Linked DNA regions of Neurospora crassa OR74A. The protein of the gene in region 2 interacts with the protein of the main gene of each other region in a pairwise test. Links are inferred from orthologs where the notes say so. Each region holds a gene or a part of one and is shown on either strand. Other genes may lie near its edges.

What was found.
Region 1: the proteins of NCU02425 (region 2) and NCU06086 interact in a protein complementation assay, tested with the Saccharomyces cerevisiae proteins (2 studies listed by BioGRID). The link is inferred for Neurospora crassa OR74A from reciprocal best matches to the Saccharomyces cerevisiae genes SLM1 and MAM33.
Region 3: the proteins of NCU02425 (region 2) and NCU04098 interact in a two-hybrid assay, tested with the Saccharomyces cerevisiae proteins (2 studies listed by BioGRID). The link is inferred for Neurospora crassa OR74A from reciprocal best matches to the Saccharomyces cerevisiae genes SLM1 and GRX5.

The regions. Positions count from the first base shown.
Region 1 is NC_026507.1:1,859,189-1,864,227, forward strand, and holds NCU06086 (regulatory protein suaprga1), read left to right. Parts: upstream 1-1,902; 5' UTR 1,903-2,105; coding exon 2,106-2,455; intron 2,456-2,515; coding exon 2,516-2,990; 3' UTR 2,991-3,208; downstream 3,209-5,039. Other genes in the region: NCU17215 (hypothetical protein), read left to right, coding at 658-1,284; NCU06085 (LCCL domain-containing protein), read left to right, coding at 3,726-5,039. UniProt on the Saccharomyces cerevisiae protein: Not known. Binds to the sorting sequence of cytochrome b2.
Region 2 is NC_026507.1:2,534,306-2,540,651, forward strand, and holds the start of NCU02425 (PH domain-containing protein), read left to right. Parts: upstream 1-2,606; 5' UTR 2,607-3,205; coding exon 3,206-3,797; intron 3,798-3,860; coding exon 3,861-4,348; intron 4,349-4,414; coding exon 4,415-4,752; intron 4,753-4,824; coding exon 4,825-5,983; 3' UTR 5,984-6,346. UniProt on the Saccharomyces cerevisiae protein: Together with SLM2, acts as an effector of the TORC2- and calcineurin-signaling pathways. Phosphorylated and activated by TORC2 under favorable growth conditions. Mediates actin polarization via inhibition of calcineurin-dependent transcription.
Region 3 is NC_026505.1:4,817,100-4,822,146, reverse strand, and holds NCU04098 (monothiol glutaredoxin-5), read left to right. Parts: upstream 1-2,202; 5' UTR 2,203-2,343; coding exon 2,344-2,370; intron 2,371-2,441; coding exon 2,442-2,724; intron 2,725-2,827; coding exon 2,828-3,015; 3' UTR 3,016-3,216; downstream 3,217-5,047. Other genes in the region: NCU04099 (alpha-methylacyl-CoA racemase), read right to left, coding at 1-341, 503-563; NCU04097 (ABC transporter), read right to left, coding at 3,464-4,357. UniProt on the Saccharomyces cerevisiae protein: Monothiol glutaredoxin involved in mitochondrial iron-sulfur (Fe/S) cluster transfer. Receives 2Fe/2S clusters from scaffold protein ISU1 and mediates their transfer to apoproteins, to the 4Fe/FS cluster biosynthesis machinery, or export from mitochondrion.

The DNA of each region.
Region 1 (5,039 bases), about 680 kb from region 2:
TATCCATTGCATCCATCTATCCATCCATGCCATGTGAGTCGAGTCCAGTGCAGTGCAGTTCTCCTCCGAGTTCGTTGAAAGTAACTGACAAGCCACAACCGACGCAGGCAAACTCCAGGCAGTTCCCCCAAAATGATAAGTAGTACGTCAGCCCCCTATTTCTCTGGCAAGCCTTTATGGGTGAGCGTTGGAGTCTGAAACAGACTAAATCATTCTTTATTATATTCCCTTTCCATCTTCCATGCTTTCATGCACTTCGATTGGTGTTGTCTATGACCTATATCACCTATCAGCGAGGCAGTCGCATTAAACATATCTGTTGCACTGGAGAGAATTAGACGCTGGCTTTGTCTCAGCCAACTGTGCTTTCGAGTGTTAGTTGTACCAAGGACGGGTTTCGGACCGGATTATGTGTGTAGGTGGGTTCGAAAAAAAGAACGAGAATCATTCCACTTGGGCTTCCAAGCTGGACTCACTACTTACAAGCTTGTTAACAATCTCAACGTGAGTACCGGCTCTTCCCCAGTCATACCTATCTCCCATCATCCATCTCACCGTTGATTAGCATTCGCAATCTCACACATCTTCTCGACCATCATCATCTTGGTTGACTTGACCGGGCACACACTACGGCACCCAAGACCAGAGACGAAGCAAATGTGCACCTACAAGACCCACATCCGCGTGTGCCGCCGGTGCAGCAGCGAGGACACAGTCCTCATTTCAGAACAACTCTGTTCCGTAGCCAGGAACAGCGGCAGCGGCATCTTTGGCTCCTGCCTATCCGGGGTTTCCGGCCAACGAGATCAGACGGGGTACAAGTGCTGGCAATGCCAGGACGAAGCAACCCTCCCGGCATCCCGGTCTCGAAGCAGTAGTGGCAGTGGGAGTAGCACCTCGAGTGGCAGCACAGGCGGAGGACCAAGGAGGAGGGGGAGCAGTGTTAGTGTTAGTGTACCCATTGGAGCGCAAGGTGTGAACTCCATGTATGGATACAACAACAATAACAACTATCACCATGGAGTTGGAGGGGGTGGTGGCAGTGGTGGTGTTTATGACAGGGGGCAGCAGCAGAGACGGATCTCGGTATCAGGACAGACGACGACGACGACGACGACATTGATGATGTTGCAAGGACAAGGGAGGGAGTACGTGCCTGGACCGGCAGCATTACCGGTATCAGAGCAACAGCAACAGGGACAACAACAGGATCTCGAAAGGAGGTTGAGGAGGATGGGGAAGATGAGGGCAGACTTGGGGAGATATGATGGGCGGTTCATATAGATCAGATTGTTCGCGTGGGTATTGCTGGCATTGGTCATGTCATTTGTCGTATCGATCCGAGGCATCCAAGGCACTCGGTTCCTGGCAGCCATGTTTGTTAAGTGTGGATCCAGTCGAGCCGATCTGGACCCTGGAACAGAAGAATGCTGGACCCTTTACTTGTTGGTAGAATAGCTAGAACTTATAAAGGTGTTAAGTGGTATGGCGTTGAGGAAACAAATCGTAAAAGCAGACCATCAGTTCCGTATATAGTCGACTAAAATAAGCTATTGATGAACAATTATCCTCTGGGCGCGATGTGAGTAGTCGAAGATGGAGCTGGAGGTAGGCCGCCCGTTGTTACGCGCACCTGAACCTCAACTGAAGACTGACAAAATTTTAGTGGGTCCAAAGCGTCATTGTGGGGGAACTTCCGCTAGGTGGGAGCTTATCGGCTGGCGCTACGCTTTATCGATGGGGTTCTTGCCTCTTGTCCCCGCAGCCGGGGCCTCATTGGATGGTCTGTGCTCGGCATTTTTTTGCGCTAGCTACTGCAGAGCTTTTGAAGATTTCTGGAGACGGGACCACTCAGCTGCTCTCGGCACAGGTTCGTGGAGCTTTCAGCGAGCGGATCCAATGATCAAAACCATCCATCGTGGATTGTCATCGAATTTCTCCATCACTCACGTTACCCATCTTTTCGTCTCGCTCCAGTCTTCGTCCACTCACTTACCCCAGCTTCCGTCCTCGACAACACTCCTCTGTCCCAACGCGCAACAACACGATCGGACCCGAATTTCCAATCTACAGTCAACAAACTACCCCCCACCAAATCCGTCAAGATGATGTCTCTTCGTGCTGTCGCGCGCACCACTGCGCCCCGTGCTCTCCGTGCCGTCTCTGCTTCTCCCATCACCCTCGGCCGCGCCACCGTCCGCGCTACCAGCAACGTTCTCAGGACCCAGCTCCCCCAGAAGGCTTTCTCGACCACCGTCTTCCGCGCTGCCGCCACCGAGATCGACTCTGAGCTCTCCGAGAAGCTCTCCACCGAGATTGGCTATGAGCAGGACATTGCCTCCAACGAGCCCGTTCCCGCCACCGTCAAGGATTTCCTTGAGAACGGCCCCTTTGAGCTTGTCGATACCCCCGGCAAGGAGGACGTTGTCCTGAAGCGCACCTTTGGCAACGAGCAGTAAGTTGAACCCCCAACATGACTTCGATCAAGAACCATGCGCTGACCAAGGTACGCCAGGATCACCATCTCCTTTTCCATCGCCGACCTCCAGAACTACGAGCCTGGCATGTTCGACGAGGACACGGCTCTCGGTGACGAGGAGGGTGCCCAGAACGAGGAGGACATGGGTGAGGACGGCGGCGCTCCCGTCCGTCTCAACATCGTCATTGAGAAGCCCAGCAAGGGTGCCCTCAACATCGACGCCGTTGCCCAGGACGGCTCCATTGTTGTCGACAACATGTTCTACTACCACGACGCCAAGCTCGCTCACGGTGAGAGCGCCGAGACCCAGCACGCTGCCCAGGCTGTCTACCCTGGCCCTCCCTTCGGTACCCTCGACGAGGATCTCCAGGTCCTCATGGAGCGCTACCTCGAGGACCGTGGCATCAACCAGGCCCTTGCCCTCTTCGTTCCCGACTACCTTGACATGAAGGAGCAGAAGGAGTACCTCAGGTGGCTCAACAACCTCAAGGGCTTCGTCGATGCCCAATAAATGGGGAGAGATGAGATACTGTCACGAGGAATGGAAAATCCAACAAGGAAAAGGCGAGAGGATTCGAGGCTGCGGGACGGCTTTTTGATTCCGCAGCTGATGTATGACATGTACCTGTAATTATATCCCACGTTTGATATCACGACTCCATACCAAAATTTGTATAATGCAACAGAAGCCGATGGGAACGGGTTGTGTAAGGATGAAGATGCTGTAATAGGACCAACGTCCAAGTGGACAAGACAGTTTTTAAGTTGATACAGCACCAGAGATATGACCGCAAAGGGTCCAAGTCATGAGGTGGTATGGCAAATCTTGCCCATTCTCGTTCTATGCCATGCTACCCTTGCTCGCCTTGGAAGCCAGCGGTCATGCCATTGGTTGAACTGGGGTCACTGATCTTTTAGCCCAGCTGAATCGAACTTCAACTTTGTCCATCTCCTTTCTCCGTCTTACCTTTTTTCCGTTGCAGAAACATTATACTTTGTCAGAATGTGCTTGTGATATGACATCTTTCTAATCAATTTTTGCGTTCGTTTCCGAGGATTCCGGTTACATTCATTTCATTCGTACATTTTGTCCTTAATTCACGCAGTCACTGCAACTCAATATTCGCATTGTGGTGAACATCTTGCCTCAGAACACCATCAAACTGCAGACACGCAGTCAGAACCCGCTACTCAATACCTAACCTTTACAAACGCCTCTAAATAGCACCGTTGATATGACTACAACATGGATCTGAAACACGCACACCAGGCCCAGTACAGCGGCGTACACCAAACAGACGACGATGACGACTATCATCCCCCCCTACCTGTCTCGAGTTCCTCCCGGACCCAAGCCAACGACGACCACCAACCATCAGAAGACGAAGAAGCCCAACTGCTATCGACAGAAGACTACATTGAGCAATTCGAATTCGACGACAACACCGACACATCATCGCCACCTTTCTTGACGACCAAACACTCGAGATCTAATGCCAAATCCCGACTTTCCCCAATCTACCGCCTCTTCACCTTCCTCTCTGGCTCCTCCCACCCCCACCGGCAAACCCTCACCCCTTTCCTGCTTCCGTCAATCCAATCGCTTCCCCGCCTTACACTAGAACGCCTCCTTTCCCATCCATGGCAGCGCGCCGCTCTGTTATCTACCGGTCTACTCCTTTGGCTCACCATTCTTTCTGTTTCCCTGGTTCAGTCCAAGGGTACTCTCCTCTACGCGGATGGAGAGGAGGGAGGAGAGGTAGTCAGACACCTAGACTGCGTCTCAACCTTTTGGGGACCAGGCAACGAGTGCGGCGTCGACGGCGAGCGGTGCAAGCCCTTTGGGAACGTCAGCTTTGCATTTCGTTGCCCGGCGGATTGCAGACAGGTTCAGGTGCTGAATCCGAGGTGGGTTGGGGGGCAGGAGGTGGTTTATAAGCCTTGGGTAATCGGTGGCGGGGATTATGGAGATGGTTCTGCTGCTGGTGGTCTAACTGCTGCCAGCACGGAGACGGAGACGGAGACGGGGACGGGGACGGGGATGGGGACGGAGACGAGGGTATACAGAGGTGACTCCTTCATTTGCCAAGCAGCGATGCATGCCGGTGTCATCTCCGATTCGAAAGGCGGGTGCGGTATGGTCAAGCTAGTAGGAGAATACTACTCCTTCTTCGGCGGAGAAGGAGGCGAAGGCATCTCGAGTCTAGGATTCGACTCGTATTTTCCCATGGGCTTCACCATCCATCCGGCCTTAACTGGCCCGGGAAAATGTCCCCAAATGGAAATGAAAACAGCCCGCTCCCTAGCCCCAACCATCCTCCTCACCTCCCTGGTATCCGTCCTAACCACGTCCGCCACAACCCTCTGGTTCACCAGCTTCATCGCCGTCTTCGTCCACGTCGGCCTCATCTCCGACCCGCCCAATGTCTCCGGCCCCTCCGACACCATCCTCCCCCAACTAATCTCAATCTTATTCGAGCGCTTGCTTCCTGCAACTTTCACCTCGGCCGTTTTGTTTTGGACCTGTTCGCGCTCCACAACCCTCGGCGCTATTCCCCCT
Region 2 (6,346 bases):
CTTCGGCTTCGTGGGACCCGGGACCGACCACAGAACAGAAGGGAAGGGCAGCTTACATGGGCGGCGTACTGCACTTTTACATGCAAGCTATGCGAACCTGAAGATCTACGTATCATTCTGCTCTCTCAACCCCGATCTTAGAAGCTCGGCTGAGCGCCGCTACACATGGAAGTGGACATGCACACTAGGTAGGTAGGGCTGCGGGCCGTCTCGCGATTAAGAGCCCTACCGGGAGTCCAGGACAGCAGATCCTTGACAACACCACGATAAGCTCGGTGGGATTTTGCGCAGCCACTGGAGTTACAAGTGAGACTGAATTCGTCCAGGACAAATTAACAAAGACTGCAGCCGGGCTAGACTACTAAGACTATGTCATTGCCTTGAACACTAAGACGAGTTGCATGATTCCTCCAATTACTCTTATTCCTTTCATTCGTCCTCTTGGGTTATTTATGGTCCCTAATAGTCATTTAAAGCCATACAGTTTCCTTAGTGTCTTGTCAAGTTGCCGATGACATTATGTTCTGGAGTCCACGTTTATTTGTCCTAGACGAGCTACATAGATACGCCCAGTTTCACCTCATCAGGACATCCTGCAAAAGCTTATTTAATGCGAGTGTGAACGCCAGTCGGCATCCGGAGCTTTCAACGGCGTCCCTGCATTGGACTTGGTGTCTACACAGATCACGCACAAGGACGACTCTTGCATCTACCTACCGTACATATTAGTCCTGGTAAGTTCGTTAGTAGCGTGGTACTCAAACGAGGGCATTAGATAGTGGGGAAGGTAGAGGAGGCTTTGAGTGATTCTAGTAGTTTTGAGCTTGTAAAAGAGGTTTTTGTTGTGTGCAGATGTTAGTCTCTGAACAGACCCCATCTGCCTCCGTTCCCCCGCCCCACATAAAATGTGGGTCTCCTCGAACTTTGTGAAACGGGTGGGGTGGGGTAGTTTTGGAGGTTAGTGGGTCTGACTGAGACTAGCAGATGTTTAGATCTCTTCTGCTAGCTCTTTCTCTCCTTGAAAGTAGGTAGTTTTAGCCTATTAGATTGTGTGAATTGTAATGTTCTGCCTTGCAGCCATCCTTAAGTAATGTTCCCTCCCTTTGCAACCTCTCCCCCCTTTTTTTTTTTTTTTTTTTTTTTTTTTTTTTTTTTTTTTTTATAAATACTAGCACCCTACTTATTATATAGTCAGTTAAGTGTAAGAGTTACCAATTCATACTAGAACTGCTAACTGCTAGTTAGAATAATAAAGGTCAAACTTTTGCATTAACAAGGGTCAAATTTTAGAAGAATGAACACTTATACCTTCATATTGGAGCTCAGCAACCTACTTTTTTAGCCCCTTAGTATCTTCTAGTATCTTGAATACCTACTACTAGTCTATACACTAGCCTCCTATTTTGCAAATACTCTACTAATTGCAATGAATTATATTGTAATAATAGGAAACGTTACTATATTGTCCCTTTATGAGAAGTTGTGGGATGCGTAGAAGACTACCTCATAATGAACCTCTCAAGGACTAATGTTAGGGAACGGTTTGTACTAATATGCGAATAAGAAAAACAACCTTGCATCGATCGTGTTCGAATAGTACCTGCTTAGCCTTCACACGTGAGATGCCTTCAAGTTGTACGGTGATTAAACTACGTGGCTTGGCATTTCAGCACCTGCTCAGTTTGTTCCCACTGACGCAATTGGTCGTCTTTTGACCTGCCATTCCCAGACAATGATCAAATCCAGCACCTTGAGGTTTTGAATAGGGATGGGAGATATTCTTCGTTGGGCGGACGATGCAAAACCAAGGCCGCAATACGTCACCCGCCGGGCGGATACTAGTTGGTGGCACAAAGAACGGCCACCTTTGCGATTCAACGTGCACTTGATTTGCAGTAAGATTGCCCAATTTGGCAAACCTGGAGATCGTCTTGGACCTCGATCGAAACAGCAAGACCACGGGTTATGTGAAGCGCCTGGTTGCGGGTAGTTCACGGCAGATTACCTACCCAGGTTACCTCTACCTGTTAGAGCTATGTACAGTAGGACAGTGCCTGTTGTGGCCAGGCTCACCTGGCACAAGATAGCTCGACGTGGTGTTCGCTCTTGATGATGTAATGGGTCAACCATGGGCTGCTCTGGCCGTCGTGTCTATGCAAGGTCTTGTGATATGACAACTAAAACCTGTAATTTGGAACCACCAGCTCCCGTCTCGTACTGAACGGGCTCGCTCGGTTTAGCCGGACGTCTCTTTCTGCTCAGCTACCAATGTCACCTATGTACATTACAGGGGCACTAGGCTTATCTGAGTGCCAAGCCAAGATTGCGTTTCACAGAGTACTTCTAGGACTGACCTTCATTGCTTGAGGAATAATCCCAGACTGACTCCGGAGAGAAGAACGAGAACCACATCCACCAAAAAAAGGGTCAAACAATAGGTAAGCTTAAGCGCGACCTGTCTGGGAACTATGGTGTGCCATTGGGTGGGGTCACTTCATCTGAAGCTGCAACTGAACCTCCGTCGAGGCCCCGGTCCGTAATTTGCGGGGGGCGATCAACAGCTCCATCATATGCCCGGAATAGCGCACGCTACAGCAGCACAATTAGCCCAGACCCTGCCCAGCGTTCTTTGTTGCTGCCCTGCCCCCGGTGACGACGACATCATACCTGTCTCCCAGACGGCCCAAGGCACCAAATCAACATTACCACTTTCCCTGCTCGCCTTCTTCCTCTAGTTCTAAACCGCCTCGCTACCTTTACCACGAGCACCTTCCACGCGCCCACATTTCCTACTACCTCTAGTCTCGGATGCGCCGTCATTGTCTTCCCGTCCAGTCACAACCCCAGACCTAGGTAGCGGTAGCAATATCTTATTTTCAATTTCCAGTCTGGATCGCCCGACTCGGTTTGTCTACTGGTCTGGTTCCAGCCTCATCATCCAAGCATATCCAGGTTGCCATCCTCAACACCCGCGCGCGTCCATCCAGGCTCTCATTTACGCTGCCCTTCTCCAAAACCTATTGCCTATCCGTCTTCTCGTCCTCTCGTACAGCCCAAGGTCTGCCGACTAGATATCCTAGTCGACCATTCCCGCTGCCGCTACCACGACCCAACCAGCCGCTCTACTTCCCCAACTTCCGAGCCTACTCTCTGTCCTTATCCCAGTACTGGGTGAGGTGTCCTGCGGCGCGCGCCGACACTCACCATGATGACCGCTAGATCTCCAGTCGGGGCCCCCTCCCCCAACATGAACTTTGATCGCGGACACAGCTACTTTCCCGACCAGCAGCAAATTATCCATGAACAGCAGCAGCAGCAGCAGCACCCACCACCACAACAACCACAGTACTATTCCGGTGGCCCTGATGCCGAGACCGCGTCAAACACCCTGGCCAATACTCACCTGATGCAATCTCATCATGAACACATGGCCACTGCTCCTCACTTAGCCAGATTCAACGAGGAGTGGGATGCCGGTCGACGAGGAAGCTCGATCGTCGACGGCACGCGACCTCACAGCACCATGTACCGAACGAACTCGTACGCCGGTTCTGTGAATGGCCTTAACGGGGATGGGGCCGCTTCCATGTCCCGCAGCAACACTCTCAAGAAAAAAGCGTCTCTTAGACGTAGTGGGAGCCTCAAACGGAGCGGCAGTCGTCGCAGCATGAAAGCGGGGAGTGTTCGGAGTTTGGCACTTCAACAGAACTCCGACCAAGAAGGAATGAACAGTGCCTTTTACTGCCCGGTTCCGACGGCAGGCAGTCCCACCGACGTCCTTGCCAACCGTTTTCAAGGTATGAGTTCATACCTGTCTGCTAACAGAGTCCGCGCCTAACCTTCATGTTTTTGTTTCTTAGCATGGCGAAAGATTCTCAAAGACCTTATTGTCTTTTTCAAGGAGATCCAGACACACTATGAGCACCGTTCCAAATCGCTCATTAGATTGGGGAATGTACTGAATAATACGTCGACTCCCCCAGGATTTCTTTCAGATGGTGGGCTAGACGATGCCCTCCAGGTTCTGCGAAATTACAACAAGCAAGCCATTGCCGAGTCCAATAAAGCACGCGAGATTGAAGAGGATGTTATCCTAGCACTCACGGGTTTACGGAGTGACCTACATCAGAAGATCAAGGAAATCAAAAATCTCTCTGGCGATTTCAAGAACTCCGTTGACAAGGAAATGGAGGCCACTCGAAGAGCTGTGAATAGTCTTCAGGAAGTTCTTGGCAAGACCGAACTCGACCCAGCTCTGACAACAGGCAAAGAAGATCCATATCTGTTACGACTAGCGGTGGATCGCCAGCTGGAAAGGCAAATTGACGAGGAAAACTATCTGCATCAGGTACGCACTTTTCACCATGTGCCTCGTTGGGGGAGTCCTGTTCACAGCTAACTGCCGTACCCAAAGGCTTACCTGAACCTTGAGAATTCGGGACGGGAGCTCGAGTCCATTGTCGTTGGCGAGATACAAAAATCTTACAACGCTTATGCTGGTATTCTCAAGAGAGAGTCGGATGTTGCTTACAGTGCTATTGAAGAGCTTCGAATTGGCCCAGTTTCCATGCCCAAAGATACCGAATGGAACTCCTTCATTCGAAAAGATGATCAGTTCGTGGATCCGGACGTGCCCATGCGATCGGCTGAGTTCATTCACTATCCGGGCCGTGACCATCACGCTTGTCAGGAAATCCGAGCGGGTCTTTTGGAGCGCAAAAGCAAATATTTGAAAAGCTATTCGGCAGGATGGTAAGTATCCGAGCCACTAAAAGAAGCTTCTTCCCGACAGTGCAAATTCTGTTCTCTTACTAACAATAGCAGGTACGTACTATCGCCTACCCACCTACACGAGTTCAAGTCTGCCGATAAGGGACAAGGGCCGGTCATGTCGCTCTACCTTCCGGAGCAAAAGCTTGGGTCTCATTCTACCGAGGGCAGTTCGTCCAACAAGTTCATCCTTAAAGGACGCCAAACCGGAACAATGCACCGTGGCCATACGTGGGTATTCCGCGCCGAAAGCCATGATACGATGATGGCATGGTATGAGGACATCAAAATGCTCACTGAGCGGACCCCGGAAGAACGCACCAATTTCCTTCGCGGCCATGGAAGAAGCTACAGCAGGTCCTCTCAGCGGTCTTCCATTAGTAGCGATGGAGTCAATGACGACGAGGAGCCTCCCTTTTCTGCAAACGTGGCATATGTCAACCAGCCGCTGAGGCAAGACGCTCTGCCGCGACGTCCTTCAGGTGGGCGATTCCCATCTGATCTCCAGGTAAATGCACAAAAACGCTTACAGGTTCCCGTTTCCCCGCTTAGTGTGAGTTCCGGAAACGACGAGAACGGCATTGTCGATGCCACCGCGGCTACCACCACATTGCCAGACAGCGCCACAGAGAAACACGATAGAACACGGAAACCAACTCCACCGGATTGCGAGGGGCCCACTCTTACAGTACATCAGGGCGATTACACTTATGCCAACCCAAACCGGAATCAAGTTCATGGCGTGCACAACGAAATTGACGGCCAACCCCTGTCGATGCATCATACTGTTGGAAACCAAGGCGATGGTGTCATTCTCCGGGAATATGGCGAACAGACTGATGGTTGTCAAATCAGTCCCGATATGACATTACTTGCTAGACAGGACCACGATGCGGACGAGCAAAACGTTCGTCACGGCCAGCGAGGGGTAGCTTCTGATATCAGAGATATCCCAGCCTCCATGGGTGCCCTACAAGCAGTGTCCCCATTGGGGGATAAGAGAGGCATGCACAACGATATCGCATCTGCGAGTGCTCAACATCCCAGCCATACAATGCCAAGAACAGTTATGGTCGGGCAGATGGACAGTAACAGTGGTGGTGACGTTTTCCAGGATCGAACACGCCCAACTATCGGAGGAATGCGCAATGACAGCGTTCCAACCATATCCCACCTTCATATTCCTGGTGAATATCCGAAGAGCTCTTCGTAGTCTCAGCTTGCCTATACGTCTTCCGTTGATCCCAGCTGTTTATCAATCGACCTATCAAGCATGCTTGGGCGGCTTCTAGGACACATTATATTCAACGTTGACATAAAGCAATTGTGGTTGGTAGTCGTCAGTGGCTTCATCTTCGCTTTTCCTTTACTTTCGTTCTGTTTGCGCATAGGAACACTGTGATTCCACGGCTTTCTTATGTATAGGATACTCTCCTAATTGTTGTCAAGGTGGTTGTGGGGGTGATAGTGGCGGTATGGACGGCAAGGAGGACAAGTGGGGGATCCGGGGGTGATATGATCTTCGAGTCTCGAAGAATACATGTTTTGGCCGTTTTATGGGGATGCTCTTCTAATC
Region 3 (5,047 bases), on a different chromosome or scaffold from region 2:
GATATCGTGCCCGGCCATGGTGGCGAACCGGCCGTCTCGCCGGAAGCCCGTCAGGCGGGCGTAGATGAGGCGGGGGTTGCATTCGTCGCTGCACAGGACAGAGGGGCCCAGCCCGAGCTTCTCCAGGACGCCGGGGCGGTAAGGGTCGATGAGAACGTCCGATACGGCGGCGAGGGATTTGATGAGGGCGATTCCGGAGGGGGACTTGAGGTCGACCACCAAGGAGGATTTGTGGCGGGTTAGTTGGTCGGGAACTTGGCGGGCGACGGGGCCGGAGACGGCGCGGTCGATGCGCAGGACGGAGGCGCCAGCGTCGGCGAGGAGGAGCCCGGCGAAGGGACCTGTTCCCAAGCGGGGAATTAGTTTTGTGACATTTTGTTTTTTTCCAAGTGAGAGTGAAGTGTAAGTGAAGTGTATAAGTGAGACCTCAAGATCGGCCGGGTTTCGGCCGAAAGCCTCTGTGTGTGTAAGTCGGAGGAAAAGTGAGAGATGGAGGGCTGACCTGGAGCTAGACCGGCAAACTCCAGGACCTTGAGGCCGGTAAGAGGCGGTTGGCCAACCATACTGATTCCTTCCTTAAACCTTCCAATCTTTCGATGTTCTGGAAGGTACCTCTCGAATAACTTCGGCCAGTAATCGTGCCTTTGGGAATATGAAACGGTTACACGGCAACGGACCGATCCACGCACAAACACTATTCACCCAGCCGGTTCAAGTTTCCGATTCCCCGATTATTGTTCTGTTTGCGAATGGCGCAGGTTGGTTGGAAAAAGAGACACCCAGTAAATGGCGAATGAGCTCAGGGGTCAATGTGACTGGTGGTGGTGGTGGTTAGCCTTGGTAGTATTTGTAGCAACAGCAGCAACAGCAAGGTCGACTAGAAAGGATGAAACGAAAAGGAGACATAAGAGGTATCCGACCACTTATGAGGCCGGTATTCGGGACTTTAGGGTATGGGGAACTCGGATCATGCTACGTTGGATGTGTGGGGTCATAGGATGAACGGGAACGGAGATGGTGCAGTATTGTTTTGACTCTTTCTGGTTTGTTTATGACTGTTTGCAAGACCATGCAATTGGGATATCCGACCAAGACACTGCACTAAGTGTGATTTTTTCAGTTCCCGCTGAGATTCCTCATAAGGTTACGGCTCTCCAGGACTTTTCAAAAGCTGAAGCTATCGTGATGTGCAGTAAACATCATCAGACATCCTTTTCCGCTTCTTCATCCAGAACATCTCAGTTTATTTTGGGGACATTGATCAAAAGAGCTGAACAGCAATCGAAACTCGAAAACGGCCATATGACAAAGTGGATTTGGGAGCAACATTATCGCAGTGACACGAATGCGGTGAGGTGACTACTGAAGCTCCGTCCCTTCTCCTGCTCACGTTGCCCCAGGCCTGTGAGGCGGGGTGTCTGGTGTGAGGGTGTGCTGTCACCAATTTGCACCGTGAACGCATTCCCGTTTAGCGGCTGATCGCGGCCCGCCCTGTGGGGAAGTTGGGGAGCTGGGCAGGTGGAGAGAGAGGGCTTGGTATGCGGGGTAAGGACAAGAGGAGGAGGTATGTAGACTCTCAACGTTTGTAGCTGATGCGCCAAAGTGACAAATCCCGAGGATTTGGATGACAGGAGCAGATCTGAGAAAGCTATGTTGCGGCAGTCCAAGATGCGATTGGTACCAAGCAAGCAACACATGATGCAAGTGCTTCAGTACATGGCAGTACCGAACCCACGATGTCAATACAACATACGCAAGACAGCTTCGACGACCGAAAATACATGATGTGTTGATCAATAACTCTTGACACCATAAGATCTAACGAACAACCAGCATGAAATATCATGTGCCGGGAAGGTGATGGGAAGTGTATCAGACAGTATGAGTCTGGATGGTTCAACTCCGATGGATGCGTGGATGTGCCAGACTCCGTGAGTATTACTAATTCTGACTTTCAATCGTCAAAGTCTCGAGAGCGTATTGGAAACAACAATGCCGTTATAATGAGCTGTGGGCATATGGATGATGGATGATGAGAGGAAAATGTAGATGCTTCCTCTACCTCGAAGCTGACAAATGATCCAAAGACTAAAGGTGCAAAACGGATCGCAGAGCACAACCCTAACCCTCTTTCAGGAGCTAGCGGAAAGCGCTTTACATCATCAAGGTCGGGTACATTGGAAAGCTCCAGTTAGTGGCCGCTAAAAAGTCGTGATAACGCTTCTTCCACTGCCGCTGCCGCCGACAATCGCCATCCGTCCGCATCGCTGTGAATTTTTGTCTGTCTTTGCGCCAAACATCTTGTCACTCTCTAGTAGCCAGCACCGCGCCTTACCTTTCAAAATGCTCACCCGGTCGCTTTTCTCGAGGGTAAGCGCTCCAGGTCCCGTCACCCCGCAAAGTTGTAACCGGCACTAACATCCTCCTCCTCCTGACAACAGCAACTCTTCGCCGCCGCCTCCCGGCCGGCCATTGCACCCAAGGCCGTCTCCTCCGCCTTCCGCCCCGTCCTCTTCTACCAGAACCGCTTCCTGTCCGATGCGACCCGCCAGGCCATCGACAAGGCCGTCGCCTCCGCGCCCGTCGTCCTCTTCATGAAGGGCACCCCCGAAACCCCCCAGTGCGGCTTCTCGCGCGCCAGCATCCAGGTTCTGGGTCTGCAGGGCGTTGATCCCAACAAGTTTGCTGCTTTTAACGTTTTGGAGGATGCCGAGTTGAGGCAGGGTATGTTACACAACCAGTTGGGACAAGAAAAATGGGAAAAGTAGACAAGGACAGAAATGCTGACACAAGTGGGCGTGCACCGCGCATCATCATGCATATATAGGCATCAAGGAGTACAGCGACTGGCCCACCATTCCTCAGCTTTACATCGACAAGGAGTTCGTCGGCGGTTGCGATATCATTGTCTCGATGCACCAGAACGGCGAGCTTGCCAAGCTTCTCGAAGAGAAGGATGTTTTGGTCAAGGGCGAGGAGGGTGCTGCTGAGGAGCAGACCGAGAAGAAGGAGTAAAAGAAATGAAGCGGCGGATGCGGATGCAGCTTTTGGCTATGCGTGGAGGAAATGAGTGATTCATGAAGCCATTGTACTTGTACTGATACCATTTGATAGACGATTGGGATCGCATGCCTAGACTGTACGATATGTGTTTACTCTTTGCAATACTGAAAAGCGACGTGGAAGTGCTTCTCTGGAAATTCATCAGGACATTGGGAAACCAGATAACAGCAGATGATGACATGTAAAGTACATGTGAGACAGATTCCCTCAAAAGTATCTCGACCTATACCCGTCTATGATGTGTTGAAAACGCCATGTTAAATGCCGCCTGGGTATCATGTTAAAGCTCCCTTTTCCTCATGCACACAAAGAAAACAGAAAAACACAAAACAAAACAAACCCCTCAGCCATGTTGAACTCTCTCTTCTCCTCCCCCCTCCTTTCAGTTACTGTCCCCATCTCAGTTGCAGCTAGGCCCATCCGTAGCCTGTTGATTCGTCTTCGCCTCCAACCCATAACCGCCCAAGCCCGGGCTGTTATAACTCAACCCCTCCGGTCCCCTCCTGTGCTGGCTTCTCGGCCCTCTCTCCTTCAAATCATCCCTCAACCACCTCAACACCAGCTCTCCCAGCCTACTATTTCCCGTCACGCCTTCAATCACATTCTTCCCATCCTCGACCTCCTTCAACATCTCCTCCGCCTTCCCCCACCCCTTCACAGTGCCCAAGTGCATGTGCACCAGGTGCGTCGGCCAACTGGCCAAGTTGTCCAGGATGTGCGTCGCGTACACAACCGTGCACTCTCTCGTCTCCGTCTCCCGTCTCAGCCACCCTAGAAACTGCGCCCGGGACCAGACATCCAAGTCGACGGTGATTTCGTCCAGCAACAGCACCGTCCAGGGCCGGATCAAGCCCATTGCCAGCTGCACCCTGCGGCGTTCTCCGTCCGACACGGCGTGCATTCGCCAGTTGGTGTCGATATCCAGCACCGACACCAATTCATCCCTTCTCTCGGGATAAGCATCGCCGCCCACTGACCGCAGCAGCTCAACGACACCAATGTCCGTGCGCACAATCGCGTTGAGGACCCATTCCAACCCCAAGTAGGTGACGCCCTCCAGACCTTCCTTGAACGGGTCAACGCCCGACACTTTGATGGTGTTGGCGGGCGCGAGACGCTTGCCGGCCAACAGGCGAAGCAAGGTGGTTTTGCCGGCACCGTTGGCGCCAATCAGGAGCGTGCGTGAGCGAGGCGGGAGGGAGAGGGTAATGTCCGAGACGCCGTTGGAGCGGTCGGGAAAGCTGTAGGTGAGGTTGAAGGTTTCCACTGTTGGGGGGGCTGGTTGGGAGGCCATTGTTTTTTTTTTTTTTTTTCTTGTGTGCGTGTGGCTGATGGTTCGATGAACGGGTTGGGTTGTTGGTGGAAGGTTTGTTATGTTGGCTCTCTCGAGTGAGAGATATGGTTTCTGGTTGGCTCTTTCCACTGTGTTTACCCTTAAGTTCGTGTTGTTGACAATGTGAAGGGATGTACTATGGTGTTGGTGGGAAGGGAAAAAAAAAAAATCGAACTTGATTTGGGGAGTGAGGGGGAAAATGGATGGAATGAGGGGGTGATAGCGGCAAGCGGCAAGCGGCAAATGTTGGGTGATGCGAAAAACGGAACAGTTCCCACTTGCACCTGACAGTTTAGAGAGCTCGGCGATGTTGGGCCAGAAGGTCTGTCGTTTCAATCCGCCCTCCCCCCTGGAAAGTTTTGCGGGGCGGTACCTGATGACGCAAGTACGCAACAAGGGCCGTTTTGAGTCCACATGGCGATTCAATTCTTCAACTCCAATAATGTGCGAAGAGAGAGAAAGCAGAACGTTCCCGATCAAAACACCTCTCCACCTTGGTGTCTTAGATAGGCCTATGTCTTGCGTCCGAAAACCGGGAATAGTTCCAAACACTTTTCCTCATCATGTCTCACTATTACCTACTACCGGAACAAACATCGTTCAACTTCGGCATCTGTTGCAAGGAATCCATGCAAGGAACCAGGTGGTCGG